Cricetulus griseus: one gene and its partner. The protein of the gene in region 1 purifies or fractionates together with the protein of each later gene. This does not show direct contact. Links are inferred from orthologs where the notes say so. Each region holds a gene or a part of one and is shown on either strand. Other genes may lie near its edges. The genes, in order: Josd2 and Ahcyl1.

The links.
Region 2: the proteins of Josd2 (region 1) and Ahcyl1 purify together in Homo sapiens (affinity purification with mass spectrometry; 4 studies listed by BioGRID and IntAct, counting the BioPlex papers as one, with this or other methods). This does not show direct contact. The link is inferred for Cricetulus griseus from reciprocal best matches to the Homo sapiens genes JOSD2 and AHCYL1.

Annotation. Positions count from the first base shown.
Region 1 is NC_048599.1:153,334,819-153,339,318, forward strand, and holds the start of Josd2 (josephin-2), read left to right. Parts: upstream 1-1,462; 5' UTR 1,463-1,513; coding exon 1,514-1,555; intron 1,556-1,668; exon of another isoform or gene 1,669-1,722; coding exon 1,723-1,780; intron 1,781-2,157; coding exon 2,158-2,320; intron 2,321-3,781; coding exon 3,782-3,907; intron 3,908-4,500. Other genes in the region: Aspdh (putative L-aspartate dehydrogenase), read left to right, coding at 56-205, 279-499, 573-783, 1,011-1,093, 1,351-1,462. UniProt on the Homo sapiens protein: Cleaves 'Lys-63'-linked poly-ubiquitin chains, and with lesser efficiency 'Lys-48'-linked poly-ubiquitin chains (in vitro). May act as a deubiquitinating enzyme.
Region 2 is NW_023276806.1:49,463,563-49,468,093, forward strand, and holds the start of Ahcyl1 (S-adenosylhomocysteine hydrolase-like protein 1), read left to right. Parts: upstream 1-1,656; 5' UTR 1,657-1,917; coding exon 1,918-2,037; intron 2,038-4,531. UniProt on the Homo sapiens protein: Multifaceted cellular regulator which coordinates several essential cellular functions including regulation of epithelial HCO3(-) and fluid secretion, mRNA processing and DNA replication.

The DNA of each region.
Region 1 (4,500 bases):
CCACACAGCAATGATCTATGTCTTGGCCTTCCCTCTCTCTACCATACTTCCCAAGGTGGGGTCTCCCTCAGCTCTGGCTGACCAGACCACAGAGCAGCAGCTCATGGAGGCATCAAACTGCTGGGGCCACACTGTGTTTGTGGCCCGAGGAGCCCTGTGGGGGACTGAAGACATCAGGAGATTGGATGCATCGGGAGGCCTCCAGGTGAGAACCATATGGGCTGCAACTGAGGGAACATGTAAGAGTCTCAGCTTCCTGACCCTGCCATTGTTTCCAGAGCCTTCGAGTCACCATGGCCACACATCCTGATGGCTTCCGACTGGAGGGGTCCCTGGCTGCAGCACACATCAGTGGGCCGCGCACAGTGCTCTACGAGGGCCCTGTGCGTGGGCTCTGCCCCTTGGCCCCCCGAAATTCTAACACCATGGCAGCTGCTGCCCTGGCTGCCCCCAGTCTAGGCTTCGACCGTGTCATTGGGGTGCTTGTGGCTGACCTTAGGTGAGCAACGGAAGTAAGTGGCCCACCTGTGTACAGGCCAGATGTACTAACTACCCTTCTCCGCTGGCTGCAGCCTCAAAGACATGCACGTGGTGGACGTGGAGCTGAAAGGCCCCCCAGGGCCCACAGGCCACAGCTTTGCTGTGCACACCCACAGAGAGAACCCAGCCCAGCCTGGCGCTGTCACCGGCTCTGCTACTGTCACAGCCTTCTGGGGCAGCCTACTGGGTGCGTCCAGACCTCTCCAAGAGTCCCTTGACTTTTGTGCCCTGCAGAACTCACATGTCGGATGTCCCACCCCGGTTGTCTGTCTTTGCCCATCCTTAGTTTTCTCTCCCAGGTCTCTCTTTTTCTCTGAGTCTCAGCCCCCCTCTTGTCTCTGCATCCACACCCCACATCTCTTTCTGAGTATCCTCTTTGGGTTGTACTACACTATCATTTTCAAAGCCCACGGCCGCCATGGCTGCTTGCATGTCTGTGTGGTCATTCTAGTCTTTCATTCTCCCCACAGGCTGCTGCCAGCTCCCCTCCAGACCTGGGATTCACCTCTGCTGACAAGTCTCCCCCGCTGCCCTTGCTGTCACCTCGACCACTGTGTGTCTCAGTAAACATCAGAGTTCTGTCGGCTGTTCTCTTTGGCCTCTTTAGTTCCTTATCCCCTAACTCTATTACATCACGCTTCAACACACTGTGTGTGACGCCATAGCAGCGAGCGCACGAGCATACGCACAAACCATTTTCCTGGAAGCTATCGCGAGAGCCCCAGTTACTACATTTCCCAGAAACCTCTAGACTGCAGTGAGCCCTGGGGGTGCATGAAAACTGGCTGTGTGGTCCGACGGGAGTTGTAGTTCCGCGCTGCAGAGCGTCCCCGGCGGACTTCCGTACCGCGCGTCCTATTTAGGCGCCTCGGAGGCCTTCGGGAATTGCAGTCAGGAGTGCTCGGGCGGTCGGGAGCTGTAGTCCGTCCTGCCTGCCCAGTCAGCGTGGTACCACTCGGCCGCTACCCAGGGAATGAGAAAGCGGCCGGTCCCAGCGAGCAGAGAGGCCGACGGGGTGAGGGCCAAGCGAGTGCCGTGCGGAGGCGGGTGGGAGCGTGCCTGGTTGCCAGGTGACAGGAAGAGGGGAGCTCCTGTTGCTTAGTGACTGGGAGAGGGCCTTGTTGCCAGGTGACGGGAGGAGAGAACCCTGGTTATTGATGAGGGGAAGTCTTTCGTTGCTAGGCGACCAGAAGAGACCCTGTTACCCAGAGACGGGGAAGGAGGAGTCCTCCATTGCTAGGTGATCAGAAATCGGACCGGTTACCAAGCGGGTGGGGAGTACTCTGTTGCTTGGGAACCAAAAAGGTATTGTTTCCTAGGGACAGAAGGGGCGATACTTCGTTACTAGGTTATAGTGATCCGGACTTTTTTTTGCTTAGAGACATGAAGTGGGGGTGGATCTCTATTGCCAAGTGAGCAAAAAAGAGCCCTTTCCCCCTAGGACTAGGGCATAAAGATGCCTCTACGCTTCGGAGACAGCCTAGGTAGCTGGGTCGTTTCCTCCCAAGCTGGCTCCAGTGCCCATCTCAGTGGCTGTTGCCCAGGGACACAGGAGTCTGGAGACCCAGATGGCCGAGATCCTGGGTCCCTAACACTTTCTCCTTGTACCACCCCCAGCAGGAGCCGAGGAGGGCATGTCTCAGGCCCCGGAAGCGCGGCCGAGCCCACCCTCAGTGTACCACGAGCGGCAGCGGCTAGAGCTGTGCGCGGTCCACGCTCTCAACAACGTCCTCCAACAACAGCTCTTTAGCCAGGAAGCTGCAGATGAAATTTGCAAGAGGTGACTGCCCTAGGTCCTGGCCCTGGAAGAGCAGGGCTGAGGGGCATGGGAGCCTGCCTGGGCACTAACAAGGCCGGGGCGCAGATCCTGGAGCTGATGTCTGCCCTTCCACCTGCTGCTTCTCACAGCCTCAACCCAGCTTTGGCCTCAACCTCTCTTATCTGAGCCTTTGTCACAGCCTCCCAGCTGTCTGTGTTTCTCCTCCTGACCATCCTACACACAGCCCCACAGCTGCCTTCCCCCTCCTCTGCATTTATTCCTCTGGGGGTCCCTGGCACTCCTAGAGAATAGCCCAGGTCCTTCAGCCTGAACTCCAAGGCTTTGGGTGCTCTGGTCCTTGCCTACCAGTCTGCAGCTTCTCCTTCACTACTCTCCTTGGCCCCAGATGACCCCACTGTGGTGATTCTGAGCTCTTACCCAGGCATTCTTGTTCTTCTTGGTCACGTAGGTGCCCTTCAGAATTTCAACCATCACTTTCTTAAACTCTCTTCCTAGTCCCACTTCTAGGCCCCACAATCCTTTCACAGATACGCCAACACCCCAGCCTGCAGTTCATGTCCACATCCAGAGGCAGCCTTCACATCTTCTCACTGCTGCTCAGCCAGCACCCTCAGACTGTAGATTTATGTTAGGAGATATCCATCCCCCTGCCACCAGCTCTGTCATGCCAGGAGCATGCTGAACAACTAGAGCTAAGGCAGATGTAGTGAGGAGAAGGCTCGGGACACAGAGCAAACACAAGTGGTTCCCTCCATGTCACTGCTCTCCAAGGGGCCAGCTCTTCAGAGGAACAGGGTCACATCTGGAGAGAGCTTAGAGGGAAGGCTTGGGCACAGGGACAGCTGGAGATAGGTGGCTGGTAAGAGCTGGTGCTGAGGCTATGCAAGAACCACTTGCCACTGGAGGAGGTGAGAGTCTGTCCCCGGGATTTGGGGCACCAGGGAGGGCTGTGAACAGAGTAGGGCAGGGTATTGCCAAATGAAAGAGGCATTCTGTATTCAAATATGGTGACATGAGCGGCATTGTCACTCAGGGGAGCTCTGTGCCCATTCTGGGGGTTTGATGGCTTCTCTACCAGAAGAAATGACATCTGAGGCTGGTCTGGAAAGAGGCCATGATGAGAAGGGCAGATGGAAGGGCAGAGACTTTGTCCAGAGCACTTGGGAGTCATGGGAGAGGTGGGAGTAGGAGAGAGGCAGGCAGCTCAAGGCTTTTGGAGGTGGATCGGATGGAGAGACTAGAGACTGGGAAGGGTTTCTGAGTGGAAAAAGACAAAAACTTTAGCTAGGCAGAGAGTACAGGTGTTGGGAATGGGAGGAAAAACAGGGCTTAGAGCCCAATGAGCTGTGTGGGGCTTAAAGAGAAAGAGCCAAAAGCCAGGCTCTGGGCCTCTCCTGCTGTGTGAGAAGTTGAAGGCCTTTCCAGGATTCCCAACCTTGGCTCTGCCCCCTTCACCCCCAGGCTGGCCCCAGACTCCCGGCTGAACCCTCATCGCAGCCTCCTGGGCACCGGCAATTATGATGTCAACGTGATCATGGCTGCCCTGCAAGGCCTGGGCCTGGCCGCTGTGTGGTGGGACAGGAGGAGGTAGGGCCTAGGCTGTGGGCTACACTGGCCCTGGGTTTGTGGGATGAAGCAGAGGGTGACTTGAAGGTAGATGGGGGAGGTTTTTGCCAGAGAGCCTCTGGCTAATGGGGACTGACTGACTGACTGACTGACTGACTGACTGACTGACTGATGAGCTAAACTGATAAACTTGGTACCAGTGAAAGGTATTCTGTGGGGGGTCCAAGTGACATGAGTGACTCATGACTGAGGAAATGGGGTTAAGAGTAGTGAGACCAGCCTGTTGACCTGAGGCAAAACTGAATTGGAAGCTGGCCTGGGTTGCATATAGAGACCCTGACTCAAAAAGGCAAATAACAAAACGTTGAGGGGCTGGGGCTCCATTGGCAGAACGCTTACCCAGCATGTATATGAGGCTGGGGTTCCATCCCCAGCACCCCATGAACTGCTGTAGTGGTGCATATCTGGGACACCTGAGACCCTGCCTAAACAAAACCAAAGCTGGACTTGACAGGTAGAGGGTGACAGGTCAGTGGGTGGTGAGTGGCTGTTCTGGGGAGGGAAGCAGTATCCAAGGGCCTCTGGGGCCTCATGCTGTGTCACTCCCCTCCCCA
Region 2 (4,531 bases), on another chromosome or scaffold:
AAGAGGGATGATGTCTTTTAAGATCACAACTTTTTTTCTTGATAGGCCTGGCATAGTAGCACAGGGTAAAAGTTCAAGGCCAGCCTGGGCTACATAGTGAACCGCTATCACAAACAAACAAACCACAACCCGGTGAGGTGCTAGATATGAAAGAGTAGTGGAGAAGAATTTAGGAGAAAGGTCCCTGGGAAGACTTACTCTGAACACAGTAGAGAAGAATCTGGCTTCTCTGAATCCACGGAAGAGAGAAGGGTGAAGGAAAGGGATGAAAAGGGAGCAGGCGGCAGCTGGATGTGTAGGATGCTAGAGTTTTGTGGGATTTTGTGGCCATTGAGAAATCCCAAGGTGATGAGATGGCTGGAATAACTTTTCGGAACATTTCAGAAATGTGATTGAAGACTGTTTGCTATGTGATGTAACCTCTCCCCTGTGACCCACAAACCTTCATTAAAAGTTTTGCTACATATTATAGCTTCATTTTTGTGGTTTAGGGGTGGGAGTTGGAAAGAGAACAGGCTGATGTGACACCAAGAGCTAAAGAAACAGTCATAAGACTGGAATAGTGAATAAAATTTCAGACTAGGCAGCAAACTAGAGCCAAGGGTGACCATCAAAACCTAAGTCCCCTCAGTAATTCACAGAAATCCTGGGGACAACATTGTACTTTCCACAGGACATAGGAACTGGAGCCAATGTCATTTGAATGATGTTCAAAGGACAAACTACCTCAGCTGACACAAACAAGCTTTCCCTCTCCAAATGGACGAATTCTTGGAAACCATAAATGTGCCACAGGCACCTCTGCCATCCAGGGCCTTACACAGGGACCGTACACAGTAGAAACTGTGAGAGTGCTACTGAACGCACTCATGGCATGCTCACTCCGAGTAGAGCTGGCAGGCAGAGACTAATGTCCAGAGAGAGCATGCAGCAGGAGGGTCAATTTGGCCCGACCTTTTCTCAATCTGCCTTTAGTTCTCTACCTTCTGATCCATCAACCCTATCTTAATGACCTCTTGACATCAGCACGGCAGCCTGAAGGTCTTGTAAACAGACAAGGCCCAGGAGGAGATAGTGATGGAGGTCATAAAGGGTTGGGTAGAAACCAGACTGCTCTCAGCTTGTTCTGCCCCCTATGAAGTCAAAAAGCAAACACTGTCCCTTGGAAATGGGCTTCTGGTCCAAAGGGTCCAGCCATGGTGTGGGCCGAGTGAGAAGGCTGTTCCAGAAAAGGCCCTAAGATGTGTCCTGTGGGACTCTGACCTATGGCCCCAAGCATCGCTCTTTATACGCCCTCCCCTCCGTCCCCCACCCCACTCCTGTCCCGGGCCACCTCCCTACCCCAAGGTCTCCTGGGGAATTCATTTGGTAGTCCAAGGCCGCTCAGTCCTGAGGCATCCTTATAGGAACCACACCGGGCTCAACAGGGCTGATGGCACCACCTGGCGGCGTACATGGTACAAGTCGCCCTGGAAAGCTCATCACCCAGGAGCAAGAAAGGAGGCAGGACTGTTCTTGTGGCCCGGCCCAGCGTGGTAACATCAGCAGACTGCGCCAATTCTCCCCGCCTCTTTCCCCACCCTCCTTGGGCCTGCCAGTACTTGACGTGGCGTCTCCGCCCTCTACCCTTACTTTGCGTGCGTGCTTGCGTGCGGCGGAGGTTGCTGCGCGGGCAAGTCGGAGCTGCGCGCTGCTGCTTCTGGTTCTTCTGTGGCCGCCGTCGCTGTCCGGCAGTCTTGTACGGCGGTGCCGACGAGGCGCGCGGGTCACAGCCCTTCGGAAGCACCAGCAGCTCGGCGCGGGGCCTGGCGGGAAGGCGGGCGAGCGCGTGGCCGAGGGCGCCGCGCGGACGGGCGGGCGCCCGTGAGGGAAAGAGGCGGGGGCGGCGGGTTAGCCGCGGGCCGGGCCGGCCGGGGGATGTCGATGCCTGACGCGATGCCGCTGCCCGGTGTCGGGGAGGAGCTGAAACAGGCCAAGGAGATCGAGGACGCTGAGAAGTACTCCTTCATGGCCACAGTCACCAAGGCTCCCAAGAAGGTGCGGGGCTCTGGGTGGCGGCGGGGGCCCTCGCGGAAGGGGCGCGAGCAAGCCCCGGGCCCGGGCTCGGGTAGTTCGGGACTTCGGGCTAAGGTTTAGGGTGCTCGGGGACCACTGACACGATGTAGGGGGTGGCCGGTGAGCGGCCATGGGCCTATCTGAGGCCGAAGAGGCCGCTCTGACCTCGCTTTTCTTTGTCCCTCGGCCGGAGTCCTCCTGGATCTTTCTGAAGCCCGGCAGGGCCAGGCCTTATATTTGCGGCTGACTTTTTCCTGGATGGAGAGCCTTGAGAAAAAGACTGGGAGGGGGTGAACGACTCAGCTGACCCCTGTGACCTCTCCAGGGGATGAGGGTATACAGGAAATTTCCCCTTAAGTAAGTGGGGAAATCGGGCAGCGCTTTTTCAAGGCATCTCTTGGGGAGCGTTGGCCGTTTAACCAACAACTGCGTGATAGCTTAGAGGCAAGAGGAAAAACTGTATGAACTGGTTGAAGGCTCTAAAAGCAACAAGAAATTGAAAGTCAAAATGATTTTCGCCTTCCAGGCTTCCAGTTGCTTGGAAGTGTGAGAGAAAGGGAAATTGAGGGGTTGGTGACAGTAGACACTGTCATGGATGCAGGCTGATCCCAGTCATGTGAATAGATCATTTAGACATCCCTCCAGAAAGAAGCTTGGGTGGGTTGGAGAGGTGGGTGGTAAGAAATGATTGCTCATTCTTTACTGCACTTACTGAAGCAGAACAAGTTCAGCCTATTGTGCTGTGGGTTGCAGCCCAAAGGACATCCTTCTACAGCTCTTGGGAAAGAGAATCTATGGAGGGCTGAGTCTAACTAGCCCTCTCAGTTGGTGGGATTGAGATCCCCTGTGCTTTCTGTCAAACATTCCTTGACTTTCCACTTATCTGGCACCCAGTTAACAGTAGACCAAAGAACCTTTGCAAAGAGGTGACCTTCCTAAAGCCAATGAAAAACATGACAGATATTTCCCTCTTGTATAAAGTCATTTCAAAGCTAACCGTGCCTACAGTATTTGCTGGGATTCAGGTCTGGTATAAATTCAAAACAGCAAGGTTTGCAGGGGTAGTTAACCCCCCCCCCAGGTTCCCGCACCTGAACTAGTTAAGCTGTTCTAAGCACCTGAGAGGGCATCCCAACACCCCCTCTTCCAGGAAATTAATAAAAACAGGTCTAGAAAAGAGAAGTCATCACTGTGTGCTTCAGCTCTGTTTTCTCACAAAATTAAAAGATTTCTACCAATAGTGCCTTTAAAAGGTTATGGAAGGTTCCTTGATCCTAAGGGAGCCAGTTGACCTCATTTTTAGTGCTCTGGTTCCTCTGATTGCTTTGCTGAAGAAGTGACCTTTTGCAATCTACACTATTTGGATACACAGAGTTCTTACAAGCAAAATGCTTAAGCATAGTACCTCAGATGAGTTAAGGGAAAGAATAGGAAAATCTGATAGCCTAATCCCTCTGACTCTTATCTCTTACCATAAACCCACCTCCTTTCATCTAAATACTTGAGAGTATTTTTATTGTTCCTTTCCATTATTTCAGTGTAACTATATTCTTGCAAGCCAATACTGATAAGCCAAAATCTGTATACATTGTAAACTGTATACTTTATACATTGTAAACTCCTAGAGGCAAGGATTCTTGTTTACCATTTTATCTCTGGAACCTAACTCTGTACCTTGCATATAGTACTCAATTGTTAATTGTCAATCTGGCTAACCAGTAACTGAAATGCCAAATGCCAACAAGCAGTAAATATCCCCTTTCCTTTCTTCTTCCTGAGAGGAATAACACAAATGAGTATTATTGCGAAGCCAAGTGCTAATGACTTTAGAGACTCCCATTAGCTAAAATAAGCAAGTCTGCCAGGAGTGTGGGAAGACCCTGTTGTAAGTTTCCATTTGCTAGTATGTATGTCTCCTTGTTATTAATCTTGTTCTTTGAACTTTATTGTGTGGCATTTACGTTGTATTAAAATGCATTATGATGACTAATTGCCCTTCCCTTAATGATGATAAAAGGTATTTATTTAGTTAATGGACCAGTCAAGGTCATGTAGTAAATTCTAGGTAATCTGGTTTTGTTTTGTTTTGTTTTGTTTTTATTCCCCCTCAGAATTTGAGTTGGACTTATGACTTAGGTCACTTGTGTACCTCTTCCATGTGGTGATAATGTGACAAACTATGGGAAAGGTTAGGGTGGAAAAGAACTTGGCATGGTACTGAATAGTGTGAGAAAAAGGCCTATTTCAAATGGTGTAGTCCTTCACCCATGAGGATTCCAGCTTGACTCAACCAAGTAACTCTTGGATCATTCCCATTTCTGAGGCCCTTCTGGAATTGAGGACATTCCTAGGGCCAAAGAATATAGGTGACTTCAGTGCTTCTCAATAAGATCAGATCCTAGTGTACTTATCTTGACAGCTTTTATTTATTGTTTGATTCGTTTGAGGTACAACATGTGTAAAAACATATGTATCT